2 linked regions of the Neodiprion lecontei genome follow. The protein of the gene in region 1 interacts with the protein of each later gene in a pairwise test. Links are inferred from orthologs where the notes say so. Each region holds a gene or a part of one and is shown on either strand. Other genes may lie near its edges. The genes, in order: E3 ubiquitin-protein ligase RNF25 and ubiquitin-conjugating enzyme E2-17 kDa.

Evidence for each region.
Region 2: the proteins of E3 ubiquitin-protein ligase RNF25 (region 1) and ubiquitin-conjugating enzyme E2-17 kDa interact in a two-hybrid assay, tested with the Drosophila melanogaster proteins (2 studies listed by BioGRID). The link is inferred for Neodiprion lecontei from reciprocal best matches to the Drosophila melanogaster genes CG13344 and eff.

Annotation. Positions count from the first base shown.
Region 1 is NC_060264.1:3,154,847-3,171,188, reverse strand, and holds E3 ubiquitin-protein ligase RNF25, read left to right. Parts: upstream 1-6,332; 5' UTR 6,333-6,480; coding exon 6,481-6,506; intron 6,507-6,631; coding exon 6,632-6,703; intron 6,704-6,894; coding exon 6,895-7,135; intron 7,136-7,383; coding exon 7,384-7,602; intron 7,603-7,650; exon of another isoform or gene 7,651-7,687; coding exon 7,688-7,999; intron 8,000-8,110; coding exon 8,111-8,284; 3' UTR 8,285-11,126; downstream 11,127-16,342. Other genes in the region: uncharacterized protein LOC107221289, read left to right, coding at 910-1,140, 2,282-2,557, 3,576-3,768; myosin heavy chain, clone 203, read right to left, coding at 3,818-3,857, 11,338-11,639, 11,797-11,856, 12,419-13,642; PRKR-interacting protein 1 homolog, read left to right, coding at 14,754-14,861, 14,997-15,176, 15,306-15,656; HEAT repeat-containing protein 6, read right to left, coding at 16,184-16,342.
Region 2 is NC_060260.1:3,775,136-3,791,922, reverse strand, and holds ubiquitin-conjugating enzyme E2-17 kDa, read right to left. Parts: upstream 9,519-16,787; 5' UTR 9,209-9,518; coding exon 9,185-9,208; intron 8,372-9,184; coding exon 8,308-8,371; intron 6,544-8,307; coding exon 6,512-6,543; intron 6,266-6,511; coding exon 6,188-6,265; intron 6,101-6,187; coding exon 5,995-6,100; intron 5,312-5,994; coding exon 5,172-5,311; 3' UTR 4,479-5,171; downstream 1-4,478. Other genes in the region: uncharacterized protein LOC107218795, read left to right, coding at 10,438-11,133. UniProt on the Drosophila melanogaster protein: Catalyzes the covalent attachment of ubiquitin to other proteins. Mediates the selective degradation of short-lived and abnormal proteins.

The sequences.
Region 1 (16,342 bases):
CTACGACCAAGTAAAGAATAAGAAAAGGAATCAGGCGGTGCGAGTGCGGCAGACGATGAAAATTATTTTAAATACGCTGGTATTTCGGTAATTTGGGGTGAAAAAAAAAAACTAACCAGTTTTGCATAATTGTATAATCGTAGCATATAACATTACTGACTAACCGCACGTGCGTTACGCAGATTTTCTAACCTTGTGGAAAATTAACCGCAGTCAAAGTTCGTGTAACTCATTACATACAATATGAGAGGAGGTATTTTGTCTTTTGTATTATCTTTCATCCCTGCGTTTTTTTTTTTCTTCTTCAATTGAAACTAGCTCGTATAATCGATGATATCCTTAATTGCGTGAGGTATAAAACACTTGTCGTATTGAAAAATTGTGATTCCGTATACGACAGAAATAAATGTACAAGGTTTTACATCGACGACGGATCGCCTGTACAGCTCTGTATTATACCGGTACAGCAGGTATAATATACCTAAAAACTATAGAAAGGCGATCTCCGGAGATTACGAGTTTTACGTGATAGTAATTCCGAAAGAGCTGTAGTATCCATGCTTCGAACGGTGTAATAAAACACTTAAACGTTGTCCTATAGTAAAAGTCCCCCGTGTCCATTCTCATAAAAAGATACCCCCTCTCAAACTCTCCTCACGCAGCTTAAGTACATATATGGGTGACGACGATGTTATACCCGCACCAAAAAATTGTCGGTTTAACGAACTTTTTTTGTTACAGGTATACAATTATATATACCTGTACATAAGATTGTTCAATACATATTGGGTTTAACGTTCGTTTTATCCTCGTATTCGGTTGCAGTAAAATGCAGAGATGTCAATTTCTCGTGTGAATCCGGACAAGCGATAAGATCGATTTAAGTTCTCGTCGTTTTGGCTTACGCAGGATCAGAGTTAGGAGAGGAATGTTCCAAGCCCTGATGATGGCTCCGGGGACGAAATGGTGCGGACCGACGCAGCTAGCATCGCGTTATAACGAGCTCGGGGCTTTCGATCAGTTGGACAGATGCTGTCGTCGCCACGATCATTGTCACAGGGCGATTCCTCCGATGACCCAACGCTACGATTATTACAATTCCATGCCGTTCACTCTCAGTCACTGCGGATGCGACCAAAGGTAAACAGTAACAAAAAAAGAAGAAGAAGAGGAATATAGCAAACATCGGAGAAAGTTATAGGAACCAGACCATCCATGCAGTGATATTATATCGATATGATGTCCAGTCGTTTTCAAATTCTATACATAGATACCTCTAGAGAATTGAGGAAGAATATTTAACAATAACGATGGGATATAAATGTCGCATACTTATCGGTATGAAAGAGGAAACGGGTGTTACTGTATGCGCATGATGTATGTCGAGACCAAAGCCCTGCCACACCACCGATGCCGTCGTTGACGTCGCCGTTGCATAATCGCCATCGCCGCCGGTATCTCGATAGCTTCCTTGACCCTCGTCCTCCTTTCCCACCAGGTTCACGATAACGTGTCAAAAATTCGCCTGCAAAATGAAAAGTGAAAGCATCTATCAGATAAAGATGACGGTAAAAAGAAAGAAAGAAAGAAAGAAAAACAGCACACCCCGATATCTAGTTTCTGCGTATTGTTAAAGGCATGTTTTATAATAGACGCAGTCATACCACCACGACGCGGTGTACCTTTATAAGGTATAATACCTATACACACAACAATGCCATGCCATGCGTACGTCGTTGAACGAGATGAATCGAACGACGCAGAAACCCTTATATTATATCAAGTGTATAGGTAGATTGACATGTAACGTTATCCTAAAGCGAGGATAAGAAAGCGGAGTAAAAAGCACCGATGCAGCGATCAAGCGTCAACGGGGACGCCGCTGCAAGCTTGTTTACGTAAACGTCAAGATCGATAACCGACGTGAAGTGTAAAAATTGATTGATAATTCTCCGCACGAAGCTTGTAATATATCATAGGTATATTATATGGGTATTTGTTAAATGTGATAGAAAAATTTCGCTTTACCCTGTAGCTGCAGCAGCTGATACAATTGATTAAAATTCGTATCAACACAGCTACATTTCGGCACCTCGAGTTCTCCCTCTGTCTGCATCCCAATACGTAGTATACGTAGATAACGAATATCGTTCAGTGTGTAAATCCCAAATCTGTAAATCATATATTGTAGATAGAATTGCGTATTAGAAGAATCAGGTGGTTACGATCATAACAGGGTGAAAATGTCCGGTTTTGCGTTGGTTGTTTGTCTGCACCGCAGGAGATACGATGACGGGGACGAGTCTAATAGACGGAGGCGAAGAAGACGAGGACGCCACCGGGGAAAACGCGACCTCCTTATCATACCCGGGACGCAGTGGTGCGGTCGGGGTCACAGAGCGACCAAGTACACCAATCTCGGTGGTTTCGGCTCGGCAGACGCGTGCTGCCGGCGCCATGACACCACCTGCCCGTTCTTCATACCCGCCTTTCAAACGAAATACGACCTCTTCAACTGGGGAATTTCTACCCTCATGCATTGTGCCTGCGACGAGCGGTAAGCTCTCGCCGAACGGAGCGCGATTATCTTTCAAATACCACGCACCGCGACAAGTGTCCCGGTTAATTGCGGTAAAGTATAGGAAATGAAGTGGGGAGGTTGGGGTGAGTGGGGGGCACGAGCAAGAGGATCAAGCGCGTAACGATCATGCGATTGATAGCTAAAGAAAAATTATGTGGTACCGATTTCAAGAGTTTCTCAGTTTTTGAATCTAACGAGCGGATAATTATATTGTTACTTCAATACGCACAGTATTTATTATACCTATACATACATGTGAATAAACCTATACGTTTGTCAATAAACAATCTTAGCCACTTTATCTAAGGATATCTGTATTGATATTCCAAAGACTGCGGTCGCGTTGTACACCTTATCTGTGTTATTATGTATTCGGGTTCTAAAATATACGCGGGCCAAAGTCAATAGAAAACAGAATCACGGGAAAACAGTTCGTTCTAATTTATCGCCAGAGGATCGCGTCGGAACTCTGTTTAAGAAAATTATGCTTCTCGCAATTTATTCTTACTTTCTAACAACGGCGATCGGTTAAGACTTAGAAACAATCGTGTGTACACAAAGTTTGCGTGGAGCAAAATGTTATGGCACAACGTGTGACGATATATACCGTAGTTATTATGCTTGTACAATATCTATACAGAGCACATGTGTGTAGCTTTAAAATTCAGGTTTACACCTGAGTAGTTATAATTACTGCGAGAAAATTAAGTTCACACGAATCTAATTTTCATTAAAGTTATAAATTATATTATTATTTATATTATATGCAATTTTCAGGCTTCATAATGTCTCATCTAACTGCGAAAATGTAATACCTATCTATTCTGTACAGATATTTTATTTTAAAACTGGCAAAAACGCGTGGTAGGGAATGGATACGAGGGGTATTGTATATAATATATGTATATCATACCTATGTATACGCCCATATTAATCTTACGTACGTTACCTTATACTCAACTGTTTTTCTTTTCTTAAATTTTCCTACTTTCAGTTTTCGAACGTGTCTGAAGATGGCCGGAACGTCGTCGGCGAACTTCGTTGGGAAATTGTTCTTCAACGTTGTACAGACAAAGTGTTTTGTTCTGAAGCCGCAAAAAGCCTGCCAGCGAAGATCGTGGTGGGGGAAATGCGAGGCTTACGAGTACCGGAAACAGGCGCATCTCAGGGACAACGTGCCGTACTGACGACGCGACACCAGCTTATAATGACTTTGCATGGAAATTCCATAATTCGTCAACGAATTACACGCGAATTACACGTCACGGTTCCAATTCTGAAAACAGAGAAAAGAAAAGAAGAATAAACAAATTATTTCGTATTCAATTAGCTATATATGACACAGTGTAATAATATATACCTATATAATATATGTATATATATATATATTATATATACATGTTTGTGTGTTAAAATATTTCTGATTCCAAAGTCTCTCGGCTGCGATTAACTTTATTATCTAATCAATTGCAACTGCTATAACTTAAACATCTCCTAAAGATTTTCAAATGTTTCAAAAACTTAGATCCTTTTCACTACTTCCGACCGTTTCGTACGGCTATGTTTAGAGTAAGAAGTACTTATAGCGGTAAAATTGTGGACACTTTATAATTCCAATATATAATGCAACCCTATACTTTGCAACGGAGATATTAATTGTTAATATCTCGAGAGTTGGAGACACAAAGCAACCTTAATTTTTTACTTAAAAGAATTCTTTTTCTTTACGTAACAAAAGAAAAAGTTGCTATACCTATGGTGATATTATTTAGCAGCGAACATATATTCGCGATACTTGAATGAGTTATTTAAAAAATTCTGTATAACCGAATATTAGAAACGCATCAAAATAATTGACTAATCTGTTTACTTTTCCTCTGAAACATAATTCAGACAGATGTCTGTAGCGTCCACTACACTTCGGCCGTATTGTAATATTCTCGATCGAAATTCACAATGACAATAAATTCACTACGGAACGACAATAATAACATGGTACCTATACATCTAGGCATACGTATGATATACATACAATAATGTATAACTATAACGGTGTAGTCAGTGTGAGTAGGACCAATTTTAGTCGAATTATAATGAATAAATTGAAGTATGTTAAGAAAATTACTGCATTATGCATTGTGGGGTAAAAAACAGAGTGTAATGGGTACGCGCATATGCATGTGATAAACTTCCATAAAGAGATCCACGTGATTAGTATACGTTTTATATAATATGAAAAAGCATAAAGTAAATTTTTCAGCAGTGATAAAAATTTCGTCGAAATAAGTATAGAATCGAGAGAGTCTATTACAACTATAGTTTATAATAACTTAATTTATGAATTAATATGATGTAATTATTCGTGTATCGATGGATTTTGCGGCACGATCTTCCGTTCGCGCTACTCAGATGTAGAATTATTACATGTACGTACCAATAGAGATTAGAATAGTGAAAATGTAACGATTTTTCGCAAGGAGCGAACGCGTTATGTTATTATATAAAAACATTGTAGTTTCGATGATATTCTTTCTGTCTCTGCATTATTGTAAATATGTATGATAAAGAAGAGAATTATTAATGAATGATACGCGATATGGGCACAGACGGCTTAATTTATTATGCGAATAAAAAGACAATTGAATACTCATTAGCATCGTTTTTATTTTACCCTGCAATGTTCCATAAACGCCTCCTGGAAACAATGTCGCCGGTTTTATGAGAAGCAACCACTGTTGCCGTTGGATTCTTTTCAATGAAAGTTATAATACGCAACGTGTGAAAATATGCGTCCAATCCTGTGGCTGTTCAGAAACGTCATTATTACGATTATTTCAGATATTACGAATGATTCGTGGATTTATGTGGTAAGCAGTTCATCTATCTTAAAGTCGATGTAAAATATAATTGAATATACTGTGATTGACAAAAATATTGACAAGACTGTGGATGCAATGAACAAAAATATATATTCCAAAATAACTTACCAACGAAGTATGTGTGTAAATCATGGTAGCGAGTATCAATATTGTGGGATGAATCCCGTCTGATCCGTGCTTCTGTTACACTGATGAACGATCTTACTCCACGATGAGATGAAAAAATTCTGTATCAAGTTATGGCTATCATTTATTCGATATGCAATTGTTTTTCGTCAACCTTGAGTTAAAAAATTTGATCTACGGAAGATTTTTAACGATAGCCCGCGCGAGTTCACAGCGCACTGTCAGTGTTGCCAACCGTCCTCTAGTCCCAAAAATTTCGTTCCATGTTTCGGACGGAATTCGGTAGAAACTTGCAGCTACTGAATTGATTCCTTCTCAAAAATATTAGCTCGACCCGAGTCAACCTCATAATAGCGTTATAATCGTAGTATTATTCATTTCTCATTCTACAAGATGTTCGCTTGCAAATGTTGGGATGTAATTCACGTCCCTAGAATCTCTGAATCCTGACATCACGAACTCAACACCCGCGCTTTTATTATTCTACATTTTATTTTTATTTTTCCCAGCGCGTGAAAATTGAAGTTTCATTGGCTAAAATTATTTTCATCTTGTGTTTCTATCACGTTTCGACATTCGCGACTGTTGTAAGAATTATATTGAAAAACATTTAACGGTGAAATTATCGCGGATGCTCTGCTTTTTTTCTTTTTTAAATAACACGTATCGAATGCAGGTTCGGTATCTGTCTTCCAATGATAAAAAAAAATACCCCAGTCTTTAACTGGCAGACCTGTAAATGTAGCAGAAGCTGCCGAACAAGGCAAATCTGTAAAGCAAACGCTTTACGTCGGAACGGCCGACTAATTTGTCGAGGAGACAAAATATATTAAATATAACAAATAGCAGATAATACCTTTGTCAAATTGTTACTCGCATTTATCAGTACTAATAATGGCTGATCCTGGCATAGACGAAAGGTAATTCGCAATGATACTGAGCCCAATACGTGGTGACAATTTTCTCGAATGTGTCAAACTGTCACTATCAATATAAATTTTTCTACATTTAATTATATTTCTTGATATTGCTCTTGTTTATACAGGGTGACCGATGAGATCGAAGCTCTCAAAGCTATTCTTCTAGATCACGAATTACACATCAAAGAAAACCGAAGGTTCGCAGATTTAAATCTTTTCTTTCCATGGATCGAATATTTCGAGTTACTACGATACTATTTTGCAAACACATACTACGGATATATGTGGAGATGCATGTTAAGAAATCACAAAAAATATTAACAGTATTTCAGAAGTGTCGAGCTTCAATATTTTTTCGCTTACCAAGTACGGTATCTGGTTGTTTCAGAGGCGAACCGGAATGCATTGAGACCATAGTATTTCCATCAACTGGAGAAGACTCTCAGTCTCAGTACGTTTGTGTGAGATTAGTTGTGGATCTGCTACCTGGCTACCCAGATGTTTCGCCAAGGGTTACACTCCGTAATCCAAGAGGATTGCATGAAGACACCGTTCGTCTCATACAAGCGGATGCAGAAGCTAAGTGTCAAGATTTTGTTGGTCAGCCAGTTATGTTCGAGTTGATTGAGGTAAGCTGAGAAAGACTCTGATCCCTCGTTAAAATGAATGATGTTCGCAATGTTTAGTGGTAATTTTTGGTACTGGTGAAAAAAAATAAAATAAAAATAGTGTACACATGATTTCAATATTTGTGTAATCAGTATTGAATTTGATCGATATAGTTATTGGGACCCGGATGTGGCGGAAAACAATCTGTTTCTATATCTCGGTCTAATCATTGACAATTACATTCACAAGGAAATTTAATTAATTACAGCTAGTACGGGAACATCTCACTTGTAGCAACTTGCCCTCTGGCCAATGCGCTGTTTGCCTCTATGGATTCAGAGAGGGTGATGAATTCACTAAAACCGAATGCTATCATCATTTTCACTCGCATTGCCTCGCAGCCCACGTAGCTGCTGCTGAACGGCATTATAGAGAGGAGCAGGAAAAAGTGCCGCTATGGCAACAAGATCCTAAAAACAAGTTCCAAGTAGGTTTCCAATGTACATTTCAGAGTTGACAAATCAATGGTACTTGCTTGTTGTGCAAAACTTCTTATTTTTCAATGATCGTAGGCAATCTGTCCCGTATGCCGCGAAGTGATTAAATGCGATGTTGAAAATCTAAGCCTTGCTCCACCGCCGTTTGAAGTTGAAACTGCAAAAGATTTTGCAGTTACTGCAGAACTGAGGGAACTGCAACATGAAATGGCTGCCTTATTTTTACATCAGCAGCAGAGGGGAGGAATAATAGATCTTGAAGCTGAGGGAGTTAAAATGCTTTTACGAACCGAAGAGGAGTCTACTGGTACTGTGGAAGAGCCCAGTCCTTCTGGGACGAGTTTAACTGCAATACAAAATCAAGAAGAACCAGTGGTGACTCAGGTGGTAAGCTAAATGTTGAAATATGTTTTCTATAATTCTTGAAAAACAAAAGCACGACAATAAAGTTTGCAGATAATGCATGGCGAATTTTATTCGGATTTAATGTTTGATTAGCAACACCCTCAGCAGTTCGGGACGCAGCATAAACCAAATCAATATCAGCCACGGCAATCGCAACAAAATCATCAGAGACACAATAATCATGGTCATCGAAACCGGGGACGTGGTCGTCCTAATTATCGACGCCACTTTGACAGAGTACGGCAACCAGAGACGACTCCCAGATGACAATGGGTTCGCGACAATCTCAGCACTGCCTGGCATCTCTCGTCATTAAATTTACACAATACAATTAGCATTATTAGCGTAATACTCGACGTTACTAGCTGTGGCTGTCACATTTTCAATCGTCTTTGTGTAATTAAATTATAGGTAACGGTGTCCTTAGCAGCTCTCCCATTGTAACGGTATATAAAGTGGGATGCATTTGAAACTTTTGGATACGGTCTACGATCACAGTAATTTTGAATTGTACAGTCAATGTTACAACCCAATTTACCGCCAGCATGAATTTGTAAACTTTCATACGAAAGGAACTAAGTAATTCATTCAGACTCATTTACATCTCATTAATTGCAGACAGTGTGTTCAAGATTTACGTTTTGAACAGTTTAATGTGATAATTAAAACGGCCAGGAAGTAAGTTTAGCACTTGTAATAACTTTTGGGTGTTGTTTTCAAATTATTAAAATGATGTTAAACTTGCTTTACAGGTATTCTTCCAAAAAGTTGTGAGTAGCGGTACTTTCCCAAGTTTTGAAACACTTACTATATTTTTATTCCATGCAATTTTTTTGACCCATTTGTTTGTCTTACTGGTTTCTAATATCCCAATCGATACGCAATATCTAGTCAAACTTTGTGTGAGATTTTAGAAAAATGGCGGCAACGCATAACGTGATTTTTCGAACGATTATCTTATAGCTATGCAAGGCTTCTGATGGACATCAATAAAGAAGCAGGCAGTACTTTTATAAAGGTATTGAATGTAATCAATCAAGGCGACTCGAGCTTAAGATGTGAGTGGAAAGTAAAAATGTTCCGAATTGTTAGACTTTAATAAAAATTACTCCCATGTTATATGCCGTATAATAAATGTTGTCAAAATATACATATATACCTATATGTGTGTCTATATATATATATGTATATACAGAATGACCCAGGGGCTATCGCCCCATAAGCTATCAGTGTCTCCATCATGAAAATCCACAACTGAAACGTTTCTTATTTCTGATGGGAAATTTTTCGTTTGCAAATTACAGCCGTATGAAGTTGCCTAATTCCGTTGCATCTGATAGAATAGAAGAACCCGCTGGCGGATTGTCATTTGAGTATCATGTGCTTGACAACTGTTCTAAGCCATAAGATACTACCAGATTGGTAAATTTCAAACAGTTGTAACTCGCAAACTACGAATTTCCTGTTGGAATTAAAAAACGTTACTGTCGCAGATATTCGGGAGTAATACATCGGTAGCTTATGTGGCGATAGTCCTGGGTCACCCTGGATGTATAATATATATGTATATATATATTTATTACAGTGATCTTTGTTTTTAGGTGCGAAAAATTTTCATTGGACCCTCCCCCAGATCTGTTCCTAATCATCAAAAAAAAAACAACTATGTCAAGTTTCAAGCCGTTACGTCAACTGGAACACACGGCGCAAAGCTCCAAACGTTTTAATTGGCAAATACACGTTTTTATAACCACTTACTTTATCTTTTATAAATTTTGGTAAAAATCCTAAATATTTCAAAATATTATAAAAGCTTTTTAACAACAATTTACTTACATATAAGCTTAATAGCATCATTTTTATTAAGCTTACAAACAATAACTATCAAAATTTTCATGGTCTTTTCCTATCATTATAAGTAACAATTCTGCCAAGTCTCAAATACTTCCTTCAATTTATACCAGTCATAGAAATCGAACCAACTGGTTATAAAGAAATGTTTTTTTTATTTATAACGTTTCGAGCTTTCAGGCATGTGTTTCAGTTGACGTAGCGGCTTAAAAATTGACAAAGATTTTGTTTTAAAGATTTGAAATACATCTGGGGCCCGGTCTAATGAAAATTTTTCCACCCTCCAAATAGGAACCACCCAAATATACATATATATATATAATGACAGAGACACTTGTCGCATCATTCCAGTCAACCATTAATCGTACTAAATAGTGACGTTAAATACGTAAATGAATAATGAACTGTATTTAAACGTGAATTGAAATTGAATTGTAAGCGCTTATCTACGTTTGCTGAACATTGCACAATAGTTATAACTGGAGTTTAATCAGTACTGCATTCGCTATTGATAGTAATAAATTGCACATGTAGCTCCACACTAAATTGTGAATTTGGAATTTACAAAAACAAAAACTGAATTATTTCTGAACTATCTTGGCACTCAGTGATGTAAAAATTAAAATATCATTATCACAGAAATTTTTCAGCCGTATTAATGATGCACAAAGTGGATATTTAAAGACTTTTGATGCTCTTAACGTACTCCAATCACTGTTTGAGTTCTCAGGTGACTAGATGCATAGATCACCATCGTTAACTATTGTTTAAATGTTGCGTACATAGCACACGTATGAAACAGGATTTACGTTTATTTTACAGTACCGGCAAAAAATAAGATATAAGTGTTAACAACTTTTGCATTGTTGACAAAGAGTTTGCAGCACAGCTTTGTTTCAAGTGTATGATTTCAATGCAACACAGTTTATGATGTTCTTATTTTATACCATAAGGTCTCATCAAAACTCATCATTGTAACATATGTCGAAATTTGTAATCTGTATATCAGTTTATCGATATTAGAAGGTAGACAATGACAGTTGTACGCAAATTCGGTCTTGTTATTAATTGTGTTACTTATTCTTAGAACTTTTTTTTATCAGTAACCAACATACTGATATTCAAGCCAAAGTCTTGAAAAATAATAATTAAGAGTTGGTATTGCTGAACAGTTTTGAACCTTGATAATATTATGCACTTGTTTATACATACGTATATTTATGATTAGGAACTAGAAAAACTTCAGAGAATATTAAAAAGAAAAAAAAAAAAAAAAAAATTATCTTTACACGGCAATTTTGCATAGATCTTTTGGCGATTTTCATTCAACTATACAGAACAATGGCAGTTATATCAGAAAATGTCAGATTATTATAAATCAACATCTGTATTTCATAAATATATCATTTAATATATTAATTTCATATGATTTCTTTACTTTCTCTTTATATTTACATCACGCTACTGACCTAGCACTGTTTGTAGGTGAATCTGAGGACATTTGCCCGGAGTTCAAGAATCGTGCACGATGTCCTAGATCAAGGGTTTCAAGCTTTTTATGCAGTTCTTCCAGTCCTGCCTGTACAGGAACCAGTAAATTTTTACCACTAGCCAAAACCTGTGTTACACTATGCATTAATTCGGCATTTAGAGGAACTGGGGAAGGAATTTCCGTAGTTATATTTTGATAAAATCCGTCTCCATATCCCTCGTCAATACTTTCTTCCAACTTATTCGCCATTGAAATTAATTTCAGTCGATCGTTCAGCTCCTGGAAATTAGATAACCAAGTTTTTAAAGTGTTTGAAGAAAATGTACAAAATTATTATGACACAATAAGTGATGGAGAAATCAATATTATTTTATCGATATATCAAATATCTTTTAACAGTCTATAATTAAGACTAGGACAAGATCTGGGAATTCACCTTATTTCTCTCAAGAGCCCGCTTGAGACATTCCTGTAAAGAGGAGTCTGTTTCAATCCTCTGAAATAACCACATCATTTTCATTAGTGCTAATATTTCGTTGATTTCTTAATCAAAGCAGTGCAGTATAGATAACACGGAATTGAAATTAGTTTTCAAAGTTGGTGATCAAATATACTAAACTCTGATTCTGGCATTTCGCTTGTTATTCCAATTGTAGCCGCCAATTTCCGTCCCTAGGTTTAGTTTTACAGACGTATAACATGCTACGCTTAAAAATGAGCTTTTCAGTAATTGCAAAGAAAAATAGTAAGGACGATAGGCGGTTCTTTGAAATTGCATACCCTATGTGATTGAGCGTATCAGGTGTTGAGTGTAGATGACAGGAAAGTACCTTGTGTTCAAAAATATAGAACTGGCAAACTGGATTGAAAATGAGGATGAAGAATTTCTCTTGGTATTGCTAGCATGTGAATGAAATGTAGCTGAAGCAATGGACCAAAATTACTGCAATGAATGTAAAAATTAGAACAATAACATACGAATATAAATGTAGGTGAGTGATGAAATATTAGGTAAAAAATGAAGAAAAAAATATATAATTATTCAAATGCCAGCTTACCGCTTGAAACAATTGCTTTCTGCTGTCTTCTCTGTTAACTTGCTCCTCCAAATATCTGATCTTCCGTTTGGCATCTCTCAGCTTCTTGAACAGAGCACTATTAGCAGCAAATGAACGAGACCTTAAGGTCTTGTTCTCATTTTTAATTTCCTGAATCACAGCGGCCTTAGACTCCAACTCGATGTTTCTTGTTTTAATCAGTTTGTGTTGAGCAATCATTTTGTTAAGTTGAGATTTCAGTTGGACTATCGCCTGTTCAACTTGGCCATGTTCCTGTTTGGAGTTCAAGAGCGTCGACTCAAGGACATCCTTCTCAGACTTAACTTTATTGAGTTCAATCTGCACGGCGTTGAGTCGACTCTTGGCCTCATTTTTTTCCATCTCGCACTTCTCCATGTTTATCCCCATACTGGATATCAACTCTCTGTACTTGGCTAGTGCACTTTCCAGTGAGTTTTTCTGAACCTCTACGCTGAGGAGGCGTTGCTCCATTGCTTTAAGCTCAACTCTCGTGTCCCTAAGCTCGTCCTCGGTTGATTCCAATTTGGTTGACAAATCGGGCGACAGGCGAGTCTGGGGGTCCTTGAGTGGCATAGCCGCTGCTTGACCTAGTGTAAGTTTTGCCCTGAGCTGTTCTATTTCTTCCTTCAACTCCTGGCGCTCTTTTCTCAACTTTTTACTCAGTACGATGTATTCGTCATTGGCCTGCTTGCACCTGGCAGTCAGAGCCAAGGTCACTTCGTGCTTCTCCTTCACCAGTCGTTGATAAGTATCAACTTCGACCTGAAGGCCCCTCTTGCTGGCCTGCAACTCGTGGATCTGTGCCTGATACCACTGCTTCAAATTCTCAGCAGCTAGCACCTGCCTCTTGGCATTCTTCAACTCATTGTCGAGCGTAAGCCTTTCCTGGAGCGAAGCCTGGGCCTCGATGTACAGCTCGGTGATCTTGTCCTTCAGCGACTGGTTTCCCACGACTCTTCCATTCAATTCGACCTGAGAATTTTCAAGGTCTACTCTTAACCTCTCGTTTTCAACTTCGAGGGCCGCCAGGCGCTTTGATAATTCCGCACTCGACACGTCCGGGGTGGAGACGTGCCTTAGTCGAAATTCGTCCGTTATCAAGTGCAGCGAATCTGTCGAGGTCACAGAGTCGAGCTCGTACCTTGAGGAGTTATCGGAAAAGCTGTCCATTCTTAAATCTCGGCAAACTCGGTGCTCGTTCATCACTGATCAATTTCTATAACAGACCGATTTGCGATCACCTGCCATTTTTTGCTCAATTCGCAAATTTTACATACGGTTCCGGCTAACTTTGCTTGGTTGGTTTGCCTCTTTCGTTTACAAAACACTGTGGTAACAAATCTCTGGCACTATTCTTAGAACAGAAACGAATTTCCTGGAGTCAGCGCCACTTACCTTACCGTGGTTGCAATCAGTACTAGAGAAGCTAAAAGGGACTTGGTAGCGGGAAATTCGAATTTAGAGTAGGGAATACTTTTTTACGTATTATAAAATTATTACTAAAAGACGGGTACATAATACGTACGTCGCTAATTTCGCTAAATCTCGAGTGTTGAGCTTTTTCATTTTTGGGTAACCTATATCGCACAGATGTTACGTCGGAACGATTTAAAACACAGCACTTTACTTTTCTAGGCATATTAGCTAACAAACACTTCAAAACACTTTTTATGTAAGAGCTAACAGAACGAACGCCTTCAATCAACAGGTAGTGTCAAATGTACCAAAATGTAACATGGCAGCGGCGTCACCAGTTGCACCAGTGTACTGCGAATCTTTAGACCTGCGAATTGGCTGCGACCGTGGTATTAAAATGCGTGCCGTGGTTGAAACAGTACTAAACAGGGAACCAGCTGGCCTGTGGCCTTAGAGCATGTACAGTATCCTTTCAACCACGGCATGACTTTTAGCGCTACAGTCGCTGCCAATTCGAAGTTCGAACTACGCAGGTGACCCCGCCGCCATGTTACATTTTACTATATTTAACAACAGCGAACTGTGCACAGTTGACAGCGCGTCGTCAAAATTCATCGAGGAGCGAGCATCAACTCTTTTCACAAGTGTTCTACGTGCGAAGAACAAAGATATATATTGCAAAATTAGCTGAGATCTACCGAAGATCACATTTCCTCGCATGCGAAGAAAACTTCAAACGGATCAGTGACGTTTAACGTGAGCACGGCTACGTTCAAATGTATTCGGATGTAACCTCAGAACTGTTACGAACGTCTCGACGTGAATAAATAGTATTGGCTATAAACAGAAATTGGATATTCATTTAAAGCAAGTTTACTTGTACATAACTACGGAAGAAATGGCGGATGGCAGCAAATCAAGTGAAAAACAGGTTGAAAGGCCTATCGTAGCTAAATCAGCCGTCGATTTGCAAAGGTTAAAGCTCATGAAGTTGATGAAAAATCCTGTAAGTTAAGAATTACACTTTTATAGATGAATATCGTAGATTTTCTTAGTTTTTTTTTCCAACAACTTACATACTGAGAGTTTCGAGAATATTCAGAATGTGTAAATTTTAGTCATACCATTTCTCTGTGCTTAGGACAAACCAATCTTACTGCCCGAGAGACCTAAGTCCAAGAATACTCCAACTGTACCAGAATTTGTTCGAAATGTAATGGGCAGCAGCGCTGGTGCAGGAAGTGGAGAATTCCATGTGTACAGACACTTACGCCGCAAGGAATATTCCCGGCAGAAATTCATTCAAGAGAAAGGAAAGAAGGTCAGTGTCAGATTTTACAAGGAAATTGTATTCTATGGGTATACACATTTTCTTGTACAGACTCTAATGAAAACTATTTGAAACGGATATGAAACTTTTCACAAATTACAAATTGCTATTTTATTACAGGAACTTTTGGATGAGGAATACCACAGGAAGTTGGAAGCCAATAAGGAAGCAGCGAATGATGCAACAGCCAAAAGGCGAGCCAAGCGGTTGAAAAAAAAACAGAGACAAAGGCAGAAAAAAAAATTGAAGCCTTCAAACCCTCAGAACAGCCAGAGCGACGAAAGCGAGCATAGCGATACACCAGCCGATGACTCAGGTCCTGAAGAAAATATTGTGGTGAAAAGTTACAGTGTTACTCCAAGTATGAATCACAATTCTGAAAAACTCGACAACAGTGTTGACAGTAACGAACGTAAAGGAAGTTGTGAGACTGAGGTTTCGACAAGTAAAATTGAAAGTGATAATCATTGATAACGTATATACATTACTACAAGACAATGTATAAGTTATTTACAAATGGTATGTTTATTTTGACATGCGAGTTCCAGACCAAATTTATCATCGTGAGCATAACTGTTACAAGTAATCGACTACAGATAGATGATAAAGAAAACATTGTAAAATGGAAAGTCTGTTGTGTTACTGTGGCAGTAATTATTGGTTACTAACTTTAGTAAAAGGTTGATAAGTTTGTACGATGTTCAGAAGGCTGGATTTTTCAGTAGTTTATAAGATAAACACTTTAAAATTTGGGGCGGTTTTATAAAAGTTCAATTCTTTTACCTGGGAAACATTTCCATCTGTTTAAGACCCATAGACGTGAAAGAATTGCGGAAACCTTAGACTGTGTTTTATCATTACTCAACAAACCTACCAACTGTAGCAGATCTATCCACTCTTTTGGAATAACATTCGATCCACGTACAGGCTAGCCTGTAAAATATTGGCTATAGTAGGAACTTCTCAACAATTATCCAGGATTATTTAAGATTTCATGATCAATAATTCATCGTTGAACTAATATCTAAATTGTCATAGCAGTCTGAGCGTTCAAAAATTTTAATCAATGCGTTGGCAATTTGTCTTTCTTGTGATGTGGCGGCGTTTTGAGAGTATTTTATCATTTGCTCCTTTGCTTTAATTGTATCTCCAGCTTT
Region 2 (16,787 bases), on another chromosome or scaffold:
CTTCGTGTACCGCATTCGTAATGTGCGGCGGCTTGACTAGACGATTTTATTATTCAAGCTGCCGTTATTCAGGCTCAATGATGAACCTACCGTCGACGACACTGCGGGGGCATAATGCAGATGCTGTCAAGTGGACAATATCGACGTAACTGCACTCGCTGCACGCATCGAAGGAAAATTATCACGTTGGCGAGTGTGTTACAAAATACAGGGTAATCGCTTTTATACGATCCGCGTTTCCTGAATGCAATTAGTTTGGAATTTGTATCACAAAACTCGGGAATCTAGATTATATGCTGTCGTCTGAAATTTAATTTTTACAAAAGAAATAAATAATTTTTCATTCGTTGTTCGAACTGCAGCGCAACGACGTTTCTCCTACTTACTAATTTAGAAAATACGATAATTGTCAGGTAGGCACATACGTGTATTATATCGAACGTACGTTGTTGAAAGTACAATAAAAAAAGGAAGCGGGATATCGCGACGCGCTCCAATTATTGTACGTAGCGGAGAATTCGAAGAGAAAATTAAAATAACAAATTGGGTACACGGGATGTGACAGATGCACGGTTTTTTTATCCTCTTTCGGTAGAGCACAGTTTGCTCTTTTTCGAATTACATGCCTGTATAAAAATTTCCTTATCCTACCTGATTGTTATCAGCAACGAAAATGGACATTGCGGATAATACCAAGAACATATCGACGCGAGGAGTATATACGTATATTATATCCACTTACTCTAGTCTCAATTAACCGAAGATGGACAAGGTCGAAACTTTCCACTCTCCCAGAACATCGCGACACACTCGTTAATCAGATTTAGCATCGTTCAGAGACGAGTATACGATAGTACGAATATAATGTAGGAAATATTACGGTCGATTAGCGTAATGAGAAAAAAGTGCGATTAAAATAAGAAACATGAGCAGAATGAAACGAGAAATTGTCCGCACCGTTCACGATTTGATTTTGAATTTGAGGAATAATAATCGCACGTACCTTGATCAGCGGCGCGAAGATTAAACGACGTTTACTATATTCGCGAATTGTTTCGGCTAATAGAGAAACGGCTGCAGTTGTTGCATGTCAGAACTAAACGACGTCGATCCAGCGACAGCCGCCACCGACTCTCTTGGAGGAACGGAAAGGACTGAGTTGACCGGAACACTCCCTCGGAATCCGTTTTGTGTGGACTTCGGTGTACGGCGTTCATTGAATCGGCGAACGCGTGGTAGGGAGTGCAAAGAGCCGCACTGCGCCAGACCGCCTCCCCGACTCCTAGACGAGGCCATCCGGATTCCGCAATTTCGATTTTCCCGCGGTCCCTCCTTTTTCGCAAGCGCAATCACCGCCTCGATCCTTGTAGCAGGTTCGCAAATTTCCCGTGGCGGGAGGCAGTTTCGCAATCCGTCGTTAAATGGGTTTAAAATTATCATCGAATTTTCACTATGTCTCAATTTTTTATCCAAGTTTTTTGAACCAACATTTTTGAACTTTTTTTTTTTAGTATGGTTGGAAGAATAAAATTTCTGTCTTTTACAGTTTGTTGTTTCTGAATAACTGAGGAGTTTTTGCGTTTCTTTTTTTTTTATTATGTGCATATAATTTTAATATGTTCTGTCCTGCGTGAGGCGAAATGTTCCATAAGCGTTTCGGTTTTTTTTTTTTTTGCGCATTTTATTCAATTAAACAAAACTATTTCCTTTCCAGTATAATAACCATGAGATATGAATCGTGTATATGTATAGTGTTACATTATGTATGTTACATTGGTTGGAGAATGATATCGGATACGATGAGAAATTACAAGTAAACGAGGTATACGTAGGTATTGTATATATTTTTATATCGTCTAATTCGTAAAACCTTCTTATCGATTTCAATTTTATAACTAGAGTAGAGCCACCAGTTCAGAATTCGTTTACTAAACTTTTCATCCAGTGGTGTCTCTACCCTGGTAATGTAGTAGGTAAGAAATATTTATCATCTATTGAACAGTAACCAAAGTTAAATACAATAGTAACCAAAATATAGTAATAGGATAATGGAGATCTGATATTGTGAGCATGTAAATAATCGGTACGCACTATAGTAATCGTTATGCAAACTTTATTCCATAAAGTGCCAACGTTTAAAATTTACACAGGATAAGTTATTAAAAATGTTCGTTATTGCGTTATTAACATAATAATTACACATGAATATTTTTCCTTCCTTTCTATTTTATTTTATTTCAAAGTTTTTTTTTTTTCTCCTTGTTTTTCTTTTTAACCTTTCTATTACTTCTTCTCATCATTGTTATTTTTCACTTTTTTTTCACTTTTTTCTCTTCGTTTTTTTTTTTTTTTGTTTTTTTTTTTTGTTTCTCATCTTCATTACAGAACGAACAATTATCAATGGAGGAGAAAGTTTTTTTTTTAAATACCTATACGTTGCCGCGTTTGATTCAAAAGGGGGTAGGGGAGGAAAAAAATACAGAAAAAAGAATTAAATTACAGTTAACTATACGTAATATGTATGTTAATATCATCGTTCGATCAGAGAAAAGATCGAAATCCCAATGAACTTACTATCCGCTTTTACATACAAAGTAGGCATTATCTTGCATCGTTTAATTTGAATAGTAATAATATTAATTCTTCGTTCAAATGAATTTTCCATTACTTTTCCATATTTTTCTTTCCTTTTAAATTTATTAACCTCACAGTTATGAAAAAAGAAAAACCATGTAGGGCAACAACAAGAAACCTGCCTTTTATCTCTTCGCACCAACTCGAGTCAACTTTCGATTTATAAATCCTAGCTTTAAACGTAAAATACATTCAATTATACACGCGAGTCGCGACGCAGTTATATATGTATATATGCAAATATCACCTGTTTTCATCGGAAGTCTATTATTTGAAACAGAACAAAAAAAAAAAACAAGCCATTCGCAAATTTACATTCAATTATTTTTACCAAGCCGGGGGTAGGTGAAAATTGAACCCAACGCCCATATTTAAAACATATATAAGTATAGTAGGTTCTTTGACATGAACGCGAGGATCGAAATAACACTGTTTAAAGACGCTAAGGTATTCTATTGTGTACGATTATTACATGGTTTTAAATAGTCTTATTTAGTGTACAACGTATGTCTTTCTAAAATGATAAACGCTATTTTGATGAGCATATCCATTTATCATTATTTCATATTCTTTTTTTAAATTTATTTATTTTATTTTTTTTGTGTTTTTTTGAATATTTTTAAATTTTTTCCAGTAATTATTATCACTTACAAGTCCGTATGATCGCGAGAACGTTGGATACATGTATTTTTCATTGTTGAGAAACGAACAAAGAGATTACTTTTTTCATGTTAAATCATCATCATCATCATCCTCATCATTATCACCATCTCATTGTCATTATAATCATAATCATCATTTTTATCATCCTTTACAACCACAATATATATATATATATATATATAATTATAAAATACAAAGTTTTGCGAATACCTGTGACAATAATTAAAATTGATACACATATCTCATCACTATACATATACATTGTTAATTGCTATTTAAAAACATGGGCAAATTACAAATCATATACTGTGTATTATAATATAATATTGTATACTACGACTTCTTTTTTTTTTAGATTTTTTAAACGTCATTTTTTTTTTTTTTTCAATTATATTGTGGATGAAAGGTTTGCTCATTCCAAGCAAAGTCTAAAAAATAAGAAAAAAATGAGAATAGGAAAAAAAAAATGAATTGCATGTAAAACGAAAGATCATACGCTAAACGGAAAAATTACTCTACGCTATTTAAGGTGAAAAACACAAGGAGTCTACATTAATGATAGGGGGGTTTGAGGGGGACGGGGACACAGGGTGTTGGTACCGAATGATTTTTTAATTTTGTATCGCAAGAAATGCGGCAGACACGCGTGAAAAATCCGCGTATGACTTCTCGCGAGGACCCGACGTACAGTTTCAGACGTTGCAACTGGCCATCTGCAGGCAAACCGCTCGTTAACTATTATCATTATTATTATTATCTTTATGGCAGTTGAGTGTAAATGAACGTATTACTAATGTATGCATGTATGTATGTATAACTCGATACGGATACAGTTGAATGATTTTTTATCATCGGAACATCGTTAAACGGGTGGAGGAATTTGAATAATGAAACAAAATTTATAGGTATAGTTTCAGTAGTATTTATATATAGAAGCCCAGTCTTACAAGAGAAAAAAAAAAAAAAAAAAAAAAAAAGTAGAAATCACCGCACATTTAAAAGGACGGGCAAATGTCGCTTCCGTTACACGTCGAAAAACTAACAATCAGCAGGTTGTCAGTCGAGGTTTTTTTTTTTTTTTGCTTTTTCATTACTTGTTAAATCGCTTGTTTTGTTTCTCTCCTTTCTTTAAATATTGTGTAGTTTATTCATTTTGTTGCCTATATCTTTTCGTTTTTTCATCTTTTACCAAGAAAGTAGGTGTACAATATCATAATATCATATAAGCACAATTATTAGAAATAGTAGTATCTCAAGTTCAAATATAAATCCTACTTTTACTTTCCTATATTTGGTTATTTTAATTTAATTTATTTACGAAAATCAAAGCAGATATTATTAATCGATATTACTTGTTGTTGTTGTTGTTGTTTTTGTTGATGTTGTTGTTGTTGATGTTGTCTTTATTTATTTCTCTTCCTTGTTTCTTTCCTGTTTCACATGTGTTTAATTATTCCAATAATATTCGGTCAGGGAGAGAGGATCTTTGCGTGTGTGTGTGTGTGTCTGTGTGTGTACGTGTGCGTGTAGTGTTTTGGCTTATTTGTGTGAAAATGTGTATCTTGCGTGAGTGTGAGTGTGTGACCACCTATTAAAAATTCTTAATTGTCTCAACTGCTGCTGTCGCCGCGGCATCGTCTTAAAACCCACTGGCTATTCTCAGGACGCGAAGGGAGAACAGATCATATTGATCACAACTGGTCACGACTGGTCCGAACGTGTTCTACAAGCTTGGGTGGCAGTGCGAACGTATAAAAAGAGACAGGCCGCTGCTAGGTTGAATCGGTGTTGATCGGTTAGTGGCATAATGATGGCTGGGGTTGTTTGCTGACAGACGTGGCGTTTAGATGTTAAGGTAAACGAGAATTGGCGCATCACATGGCATACTTGCGCGTCCATTCGCGTGCCAATTCGTTATACTTCTCCCTGTCGGTTTTGTATATCCTTGCTATCTCTGGCACCAGTGGATCGTCAGGATTTGGGTCGCACAATAGAGAACATATTGACAGCAACACTGCAATTATACAGATTAATCATAATTATTATTCATCATTTTTCACCTTCATCTTTCACTATCAATTATTCAATACCACAAAATACGTCCTTCCATTTCTTTTGCAACGCGTGTCGTACGTGCAGAATGTTTGAACCGAGTTGTTATCGCAACAATATTGTTAACAATATACACTCGTGATATTTGCAACAGATTACCAACTGTGCTAGCAGAATTTTGCCGCCAATTGGAACCGAAAAGGAAAAAATAAATGAATAAATAAATAAAAATCACCACAGTATATATCGTTGAGAAGTCTGCAATCGCAAACCGTGTTGAACAGAAAATGGACACGCGTGATACGATGCCAGAGATATCGAAGATACATCATAGAATTAAAAATGGCAAAATACGTAGTTCGATCACTATAAATAGTTCAAACGTTGCACGAAGTTGGCAATGACACAAAAAGTGCAATAGAAATGGACGTGGCAAAACATAAATAATTATCTATAATTGATCTCTAACACCAAGCAGTGCCGATAAAGAAGCAAATTTAATACAGCTACTATTACATTGTGATTATCTGAACTGCCTGGTCGAGGAACGAATGTTATAGATATATTTGAAATAATTGACAAGGCAAACTATTCGTGTTTATATGGTATTGTTAAATTTAATATATTAAACTATAACGAATGTACCCTTTGAAATAGTAAGTGCTGGCGACCACTGCGATCTTAGTATATCCAAGCAGATACTTCCGTTACTGTTGATATTGGGGTGATAGATTCTGGTTGTGAAAGCAACCTAGGAAAAGGACATATGCGTTGAATAATATCGAACTGGTTATAAGAACACATAAGGTAGTTGGATAAAATTGACACGTCACCGTACCTTAGGAGGCTTGAAGGGATAGTCTGTTGGGAAGTGAATTGTTAAGAAAAATACTCCTCCCTGGTATGGACTATCGGGCTGAAAATATATGCATGACATTTTTTATATGCGACTAAATTTCCACCTACTGTTGATAACTAAAATATATATATAATAAGTTAACGGTACATTATGTAAACTGTGAACATAATATTGAAATGACAATTTGCTGAACTCGTTTTGAGAGATGTGCGGTATGCGATGTAGAACATGAGACGAAAAATGAAGAAATCACAGATTAGATGTTGTGTGAGGATAAAACGATGAATATTGTTTATTACTCACTGGTCCCATTATGGTGGCCTGCCAGTGGAATACTGAAATTAAAGAAAGAAAGACATACAATTGTATTGTTGCGAAAATGTGTAACATGAGAAGATAATTATATATCTAAATGTTTGTTCATAGATCAATTGGCCAGCCAGTCATATCCAAGAAGTATAATACATGGAATAAGAAGCAAGTTCCTAACGAGTTTTCACGTAAGTGTAATTAACATTTCGTTAATGCATTTTAAGCTGAACCGATGTATACAAATCTTAAGACGTAAATAGTAAAATATTTTCCTGCATGAACAAGCGTGTGATAATATTATATGAAACTCTATGGCTAGAGAAAGGAAGTTCCTGTATCCGGATGTCTTATGGATATAACTTTATCATATTTTGAAAATTGAAAGACAAAGTGTCAAGTTTCAACGTTGACGGTTTGTTATGAAATTAATATATGCTTCTCATTTCATACAAATAACATTCTCGGGAGTTGGAAAACTTTTCTCAAGTCTCCGCCAAGATAGGGAGAGGGAAAGGAGGGAAGGGAGAAAAAGATAGATTAGTCGTAGTCTGGCAAAACAGCAATTTTCTGTCCTATTGTCAAGTCACATACTAACGATACCCAAGAGGATGAGTCACATGGCCCAAGAATAAAATACCATGACATGAAAGCTGCTGAAAGACTTTTGAAGCCGGCTGAAATAGTTTCAAGCACCCGATTCATTGGTGTGCGGATAATGAACTTGGTTTCAATCTCAATTGAAAATTAAAATGCAAGTTTATAGGCAAAGTTCGTTAGTTGTTCAGATAAATATTTTGCGTTCAGGCAAGTTGAAAGCAAATAAGCATTTCTGTAAAGATTTTCAAACTAAGTATCTGGTCAACATCGTGCCGACCAGTCGAAAGGGAATCAAGTTTATTTTATAATTGGCATTCAATACCAAAACCTGTTGCAATATAAACTAAAAAAAATGTAGAGAAAAATAGTTTGAAGAGCAGGTATTGGTAAGTAGTGGGTGTCGACTACCACATTGGTCTGAACTATTTATAGATTCTATATGAATGCTAGCAAAATTCTTATTTAAAATTCCAGGTTATCTGCCGTAGTAAAGGCAGAGCTTTTATACATCAAAGAAGCATTCATCCTAATAAAGGTAACGCTTATAAGTACTTGCGCATATACCGAGCAGTCAGTTATATCTAACCGACATGATTAAAGACGCATTTATGTGTGTTATTGAAATGTGTTGCCCAGTAATGAGTTTTGAAACAATCGCTCTAGCTCTTAACAAAGTTTTCCTTATATTATTTGAGAGCTCATTTCTTACAATCCACAGTTCAATTCATATACTTTATTCTTAATCGCCTGAAATTTGTGTTCAAGACTGACCAGTGTCAGACAAAGAATACTTAAAACTTTTGCTATGGTGAGATATATAAAATTGCCAAATTTTTGAAGCTCTAACATTTTTCAAATCGTGAAGTTAAATTTAAGACAGTCGAAAAGAGACATCGAGGTACACTTGGCAAAAAGTACAAGTCTGCAACTGTTGATTCTGAACTTGTAAATTCGAACAAAGATAAATTATATGAAATATATGAACAATGGGTGACATTTCTGAATCACACAGACAAGTAATGAAATCTCTAGCTGCAGTTGTAACACCTGAAACTTTAAGATTTCAGGTGCAGAAAAATTGAGTCAGAGGAAGAAAGATGAAGATGTTTTGGGCGAGGCAGGAAGCGAAATGAATATGAAGGAGTCAATGTCGACTTATTGGAAATAAGGTGGTGCAGTTTGTAACTTACAATCGTCTCCTACTGGACCAGCGGAGCATTGTGCAGGTGGATCCCTTCCCAGATCCTGGAGTTCCTGAAATGTTAAAAAACAGAGTTAAGTGCACTTGTAGAATTTGCCAAATCAATTAGCAGCTAGATCTATGCTTGATTAAATCGCAACGCCACTCGATATCAATGACTCAGAATGTTCCAGAACATTTTCTGGTTATTCTACGAGTTGACCATAACAATCAGGTCCAGAGATCAATGACGTCACGATAACGTTCCAACTGGTTCTAAGCCACAGAAATGACACAACGCCAGCGAGTCTTTATTCAAAATGGCAAAGATTTTGTCGGAGGAAAAGTAACGATGATAAAATATTGGTAAATTTGTTTTATCCGGACAGCGATTGGTTTATTGCGCGAACTTTGCAGGTCATGGAATTGGCGTTTATGGGGGTATATTCTTTTTTTCTCCCAGTTTCAGAGTTATCTATAGCCGTGTATATAAGCACATGTATATGGATGGATATATAGGTGTAGGCATATACAGACATATAACGCAGGGTTTTACGTTACTTCCGGCTATTTATCGGCCATCTACCAAGGATTTATCGTATTTTCACTGTCATTGTGGAATAATCACAATGAAAATAATTGACCGAGCAACACGTTGGGAATACGGTGATTTGAATACGCGATGGGACAGGCGATAAACGAAAGCACAATCGGGTAACGGAGAGTCGGAACGGTGAAAAAAAGGGGTAAAAGCCAACATGATTTTCAATGCTGGCTCACATTGCTTCACTGCAAAATTGTTAAGGGCGTTCAATTTGATTTAACGCACAGCACACTGTCCGCGGATACTTTTTATGAAGTATTAACACTAGGAATCGTTGACGTACCTTATTAATTCGTTTTAAAGCCATTTGATGGACTGTGTATTGATATAAACTGGCTGAAACCCAGACAACGAAACCCGCTAGCCAAGGATCTTTGATTAGGGATTGCAAGATGGCTGCCTTCTAAACGTCGTCTCACTACGTCGTTCAAGCTATTGTCTGCATGCCACCTTTTACTGGCCTCCACCGACTCGCCGGTATCGTTCAACGCGGGGAGAAATTATCGGAATTTCAAAAATATCCGTTAGCCGACTAAAATCCAACGGCACTATCGATTCGATCAGTTTTTATTCACTTCTTGATCTCCAACTCGATCCAGACTCCACGGATTTCCTTCTACCGGCGAACGCGGATTGTAGAGACTTTCGCGTTATGCGCCGCCCGACCGGCAGCCGGTCATTCGGTTTCCCGCCATACCGACGCGGCATTGACACTCGTCGAATATGGCGGCTACTTTTATAAAATCCTCATTTCACGTAACCAGCATGACGTAAACAGATTTTCAAAGAAGCCTTGTGACGCGCAACCGCGTATTTCACACCTTTCTCGGCGTGTCAAATCTTTTTTTTTTCTCTCTTCTCTTCTTTTTGCGCGATTCGGCTACACAGCATTTTATTAGACGACTATTCGAAATGTCTTTTCAACCTGCATTTAAATTACGTTCTATTTCTGTAACATGCGATATTTTTCGGAGGGATTAAAATTAGGTAACTCACAAGTGTGTACGTCATCTTAAATCATTTTTTTTTATTCGAAGTATCATACAATTCGTCAAATTCAGTTTAAAACTATCGAGTCCTCCTGCAGCGTAGAAGAAAAACATTAGGTATTTATTAATAAAAATATTCGATCATACGGAACAACGTTCTTCGGTAATATGAATTTCTACGAATGTATATTGCGGAAAACGACGCGTAATGTGTATGCAGTGGATAATATTACATCTGTATCCATGTGGAGTGGATTAATCGATGATGAAACAAAACGCAAAGAACAGACGTCACGCGTGCCACGATGCGAGGTTACATAAACCGTTAACAGGAAGGAAAAAAAATAAATAAATATAAAAATTAACAAGTCTAAAGGCGACGAGCGTAATACGGTAACGGTACAATAAGGCATGCGCGATTTAACTTGCTGAACCGAAGTAAGAGAGGCGAAAAAAGTTATATCAAAAAAGAAAGAAAGAAGTGGGGAAAAAAAAAGAAAGAAAAGTAACAAACCCCGAGCTCTTTGCTGCGTGTAAATTGAGTTTTATGGCGGAGCAGCGTAAGGCGGGCGAGTGCTTCTGCAGCAGACGAAAGAAAGGCACAGGAGGTAACAAGCCGAAGCCGTCGAGCAAGAGAAAGCGGCAAACGCTGGTGCACAATCCGGACGAAGAGATATGGCACGAGCCGTATATGCACTGCCTTCGTAAGGAATTTTCGCAAAAGTCGATACCGTGCGACTCGAAGATCGAGCTGCCGTGGCGAGACATCGCTCTCCCACCTGTTGCCATGAGGATCAGGCCTAACGTCACGGTCAAGGAGGAGCCAGTCGAGGAGGCAGCTCAGCTCCGGGAAATCGGCGGCGAGGACAGCGAGGGAGTCGATTCGAAGGAATCGACCGGGAAGATGAAGCTCCCGTGGAACGACCTCCTGGTGATGGACACGGTCGCCCCGCAGCCGCGACTCCGGGCCGACGGTGCGCTCTGCGATTCGACCCTGGAGATACCCTGGGAGGATCTCGCCTTCGAAAGGCCGGTTGAAATACGCCCGATACCGGAGGAGGAGCTCTGCGATTTAGACGACGTCGAAATCCCCTGGGAGGACATACTGCTCCCCGCAAACATCGTCATCGAGGCCAGGAAAAAGAAGCACCCCTCCTCCAGGGGCCCACCGAATTATCTCTCCGCCAGGGGTGGTGCATGTTGCGGCGATAATCCCTGCTGCACAAAGGCCAGGCGAAAGTGACGTGGAAATTTTTTAAAATCATGAATTGTACGTATGTGACAGAACGACGAGGCTGAAGTTAGTAACGTTATCGTATCGAAACGTTGTAATAAAAATTACTATTTTGAAACTTTAGAATAACTAAAAAGTTGAATTTACTAAATCTGAGTTTGTTCATGCTTCATTAATGGTTTCCTAAATTTTAGAGAATTCTAAAGTTGAAAAATAACGAGTTTCTATAGACGCATTATTACAATAACGTTATAAAAACTTCAGCCTGTAACAGAACGACATTGCAGTTCGTCGCTTATCAACGATAATGTCTCGGTTGCATATCGCGGTCTGATGTTGGCAGCGATTCGGTTTCGTATAACGAATTATCGAGGTGCGAGCCATACAATCGAAATCCTGCGAGATCCCGTGTTCCGCTCCGCTTGCTTGTTTTTTTTTTTTCTCTTGCAATTATTCACATTTTTCTTTCTCCTCTTTTTTTCTCCCTCCCGAATCCGTGCGTCTGTGTAACAAAGTCGACTGTACCCTCAAATTGGAAAGTCGTCATGACAGAATGCGACGGTTTTAACGCCCGCCACACTACCATTTCTCTCCGCGATCCTCCGTTTGGTCAGAGTCTCGCCTCCTCCGGCCTAACCTCGGTGTCCTTGAGCCAAATTACACCACTCGTCATCGCTGCTACGGACTCGGAAGGCGATTATGAAACCTCCAGCGAAGGTCATCACAGTCCTCGGGCAGGTGCAGACTGCCGCAAACCATCGAATAACTTAGCTCGTTCTACCAGCGGTACCATCGTCCCCCAGTTGGTAGACGCCGTCCTGTTTCCCGATGAAGATAGTGCCCCGCAAAATGAGCTCACAGCTGCCAGTAACACGATCGTAGGTTAGCGTTCTCCATTCACGATCCTCGCGACTGATCCGGTATCCTTGTCTGACTGTGAGTCCCTATAATAACGCATGATGATGAATGAGATAAATGATGAACTGCAGGCACCTCTGACTCGCCCAGGATCGATTTACCGGAGCGTCAGACCCCGTCGATGGGTTCCCGCAACCCGAGCCATCGGAATGAAGGGTCAGAAGTGTCATCGAGCACGAGTGTCGATGTCGACGAAATGAGCCTGAAGCGAACGGAGTACTTCGTGGCTCCAAAGGTCGAGAGCGATGCGAACAAGTCGGAGTCCCTGCCTGTGATCAGGGTCGCCACACCCTGGGGATCCTACGAGTATCCCGACGTTCACATACCGGCGGAACGTCTGGTGTCCGACTCGCCGGTTGACATCAGGGAAAAAATGCGGCTGATAGCGGCGTGCATGGACGGTTCGAATTCCTCCGGCACGACGAGATTTCACGACGAATCAAGACATTCCCTGTTTCCGGAGTTATCGGAGGATGCAGACGCGAGTCCACGATGCAAAGCATCGACAGATCGCGCGAGCGAAGTGGAAATCAGCGGCATGTATTGTCGCCCTGTTTCCCAGAGTTCACGCTCTGCAAGAATAAGAGTTGTCAATAGTCTCAAGGACTCCGCCGAGGCGTTGAACGTCCTACCGATCACAAGGAATTCCAAATTTGCTTCCGATTACACCTTTTCACCGAGTCTAAGTGGCGCTAGTATGCCACCTGCGACGCCGAGCAACGAACCTCTCAGTCACAAATGTTCAAGTTTATGTCACCGAGAGTTGGAGTCCCAGCGTTTGACAACGACGAACAAGTCGTACGATCCGCTCTCCCGCATAGAAGGGGAACTTGGACCGCTACAAAACGAGCTCAGCGAAATTCGCGGCAAGGTCAGAGCTCTGAACCTCGACTACAACCTGTCCTGTATCAATGGCATGATCAAGCTGCCCAAAATGATGAATTGGACGAGGTCCGATATCCTCGGAAACCCTGCATGCCGACCTCAGGTCAAACCTGTCAAAGACGATTTCATTCTAAGCGACTATTTCCGCGCAGATGACAACCCTGTTTTTCAAAACGAAATGGAGGCTCCGAACCTCCCAAGCAACCACAAGGTCTCGGATTTCGACGGGACCAACTACGCGACTTATCGATGTCCGTTTGTCCAGCTGTTGTCCGCAGCTACCGAAGTCAGCCCGACGTTCTACGGCTTGAAAGACCTCATCGAGGCCAAATCGACTGAAAACACCCTGAGTCACCCTGGCGTGGACATTGGCGTGCCCGTGGATGAGATTGGTGGCTCGGAGAATTGCAAACAGGAAATGGAATGGCCATGTTTCACTTCTCCACTGGGTTGTACGGACCGAAAATTGTCTTCGGTTCATATTTGCACAGCATCGCCTCCGAGGCTTGACAATCCAAAACCGGAAGTCGGAACCCTTGAAAGTGAAAAAAAGGTGGCGGAATCTTCCGAGAATCATCCGACAGCACCGGAAATCCGACTTCCCGACTTTTTGGACAGAATTTGTATAGTTCCGATCTCGTATATTGGCCCTATGCCCGATCCTCCGGCTGAACCGGTGTTCAGTTTTTCTAGGCCAGAAGAAGCCGCCGTCTCTAGAGCCGGGCACAAAGTCTTGAGAATCGAGCATCCTGATGTCCCCTTCAATCGTCGAGACCAGAGAGGCAATCGGAGTGTCGAGACGTCGTCGAGTTCTTCGGGTACGGTTTTGACCTGTGAAAGGCCAACGGATCGTAGCGAGACGTCGATGTCCTCTAGGAGGGAGCAGGACGATTCTTCGAACGAAAGTTCACTCTGCAGAGGGTCTGATAGAATAGGGCTGAAATTTGTAAAAAGGAGTTCGCGCAGTCATTCTTCGACGTTTGCACGGAGGCAACAAGTCGGTACTGAAGAACCATTTGTTATACGAGGGTTAATTTGTGGGCCGGAAGATTTTTTATGACGGATAATACAATAATTTTTATCGAGAATGTTGTCGTTCTATGCTTGATTGATGGTATCTGAGTGTTTTATTCTTGAATACATACGAAACGAATGTGTATAACACAAACATATATATACTTGGTTACATATGTATATAATACTCACGCTACCTCAATTTATTAATTAATCAATCTCAAAGGCGAGGGTATATGATCCCAGCCATTGGGTTGGCATAAATTAGAGCTGCGTAGTCCGGATCGTAAGAAAGATGCGACATAGCTGGAAGAACACCAGTAGGTACCGCTCTCCAATTTTCCAGTGGAGGATATCTGCATTGACGTCGGCGAGTTACGTCACGTTTTTGTACCTCGATCTTTGTGTTAATAACCGTATGGGGGGTTAAACTGTATAGCGACTTCAATCGATGAAATACGACGGAGTATATTTCAACGCAATGGATAACGAGCTTTATAAGTTGGTTGTATATGCAGGTAGAATTTTGAGACGATGGAATCCGTCACTTACAGATATTCACGTTATTCCGCCTGGATTCAGACCTATTCAAATTTCAATATAGAACCACCGGGAGAAGAAATTGTACGCTTATCGAACCATTACACTGATCGTTCATCATTCATGTATCTATAACAGAACATGACCTAAGTAATGACAATAAACGCCTGTACAGGTTTTCCTATTCAAACTGAAAACTCGGTTTCAGTCTACTGGTATTATTTGCCAGTGAACCAATTAATTTGCACTACTAATTGAAGCTGAAATTGTAGGCGATAATTGCTAACAAATTAATGCCGTTGTAACATTAGTAGTGCAAGTGTATGACAAAAATAAGAGAAAAAGAAAGAACACGATGGAGCCTCGCATTATCAAATCATCCGTTTGAATTTACCTTTTGCAGGCACGTTCATTCTATGTGTAAAGGTGAAAGCCGCGGCACGTCATCACCGATTATCAATGCCAGATACCTACGTACTGATTGTCACAATTATGAAAACAGCATGCTTTTTCTGTATATAATATTAAGCCAAGCCTGTAAGTGAGAAATTGGATTGGAATTTATAATATTTTATGTTTAAGTTTAAGCTTCTCCAAGAGTCATATTCGATTATTCGAAAAGAAAAACAAAAGGCGAAAGCCTTGGGTTCACCCGACGGTCGGAAGGAGGAATTTCGACGTTACCGACGCGGCGAAGAAAGTCGAGTGGTGGCAGCACGGTCGGCGGTGGGGCGACGTTCGCAAATCTACATTCGCGTGACGGGTGGCGGCAGTGAACGAGTGACGTCGTGACGGTGCGCGTCGCGACCGAGAACGAGCGAGCGAGAAAGAGAAAAAAAACAGACAGAGAGAGATAGAAGGAGCGACGGATGTTCTCGGCGAAAATGGCGTAGTCCAGCGAGTGTCGCGACGTTGAAGCGACGTTCCTCGCGATTGGTAATACGGCCGAGGTGCCAAGTTCCGAGTAAATGCCGGGCAGTCAGAAACAGTGCCGTGGCAGCAGCGAGGCAGTGACAATCGCCAAGGTTCGCGATACGAGAGGAGTGAACGAAAGAGTCACGGCTCTACCTTTTTTTATTCCATTAATACAGTGGTGAATTAAAATGGAGTAAAGGGCGGAAGAGGCAAGGGGGGGATTCGCGTGGTCAATAAGCAATCGTGTGATCTCGCGGAGTGTTTCTATGCTCCGTCAAAGATGCCCGACGTTCGCGACGAACGGCGTTATTTGCGATCCTTTCTTGTTTACCTTATCGAACCGTTTCGAACCAAGAGCGTCCTCGAATGACAGACCGAAATCTGTGCTTTTAACACTCGACGACAACGACGACGACGACGACGTATCGTGTGAATCGTACCTGCTGTGAAAGTGATAATCGTTTGCGACGCGCCGTTTGAACCGTTATTTTAAACCGTCGAAAACGCCGTCCTGACGCCAGTTTATTATAATCGCAATACGACCGATCGGCGATACCTACCGATTAGTTTTACCAATTACTCAGCAGCTCCGACGATCGGACAACTGACAGATTGACGACCTTGCAACAGGCTTAAGATGGCGCTGGTTCTGTTTTGACGTACGGACTTGTCGCCTCGACGCCGTTCTTCTTACAATCGAAACCATCGACGACTGGATTTTATCACGGTTTTTGGAGTACCGATTATGAACAGAGGATTCTACGTAGCCTGTGCACCGTACGCATATCCGGTGAGTATTCATCCCCCCCTTCTTTTCTATCCTCGATTCATTGTCTCTTCGAATGTGGTACGATCTATGTATGCGAGTGTGTGTGTGCATTTTTTTTTTACACCGCACAACGCGGATTTGCCTTTATTATCATTCTTATTATCTCTGCCGTTGTTATCGACGCTATTTGGGCTCCGGAAGTCAGATGATTGTATGTACTTATGTACATATTGTATCGCTATTGATACATTTCTTGTCGTTTCATTTTCCGGCTTCGATGCATACATCGCGGTGTGGTTGACATTCAGCACGTACGATTCGACAGCTTTCAACACCTGGTTATTCGTCGTCGTTTCGTTCGTTCGTTTCACATGGCTCGACTGCTACGATAGTTTTGTCTCTCGATATGAAACTAGGCAGGCAACTGCTTTCTTACGTCACAAATCCCGTCTCTTGAGTCACGACCGCTATTGTCCAGGATACACGGAGAGGTAAAAACCGGGTGAAAAGTCGCACGGAATTTAATACGGCATGCACACGGTGTATATTAATTTGCGTAACTTATCGTCCGAACGTCAGTACGTTATACGAAAGAATACCGTTGCGTTGATCTCGATTACCT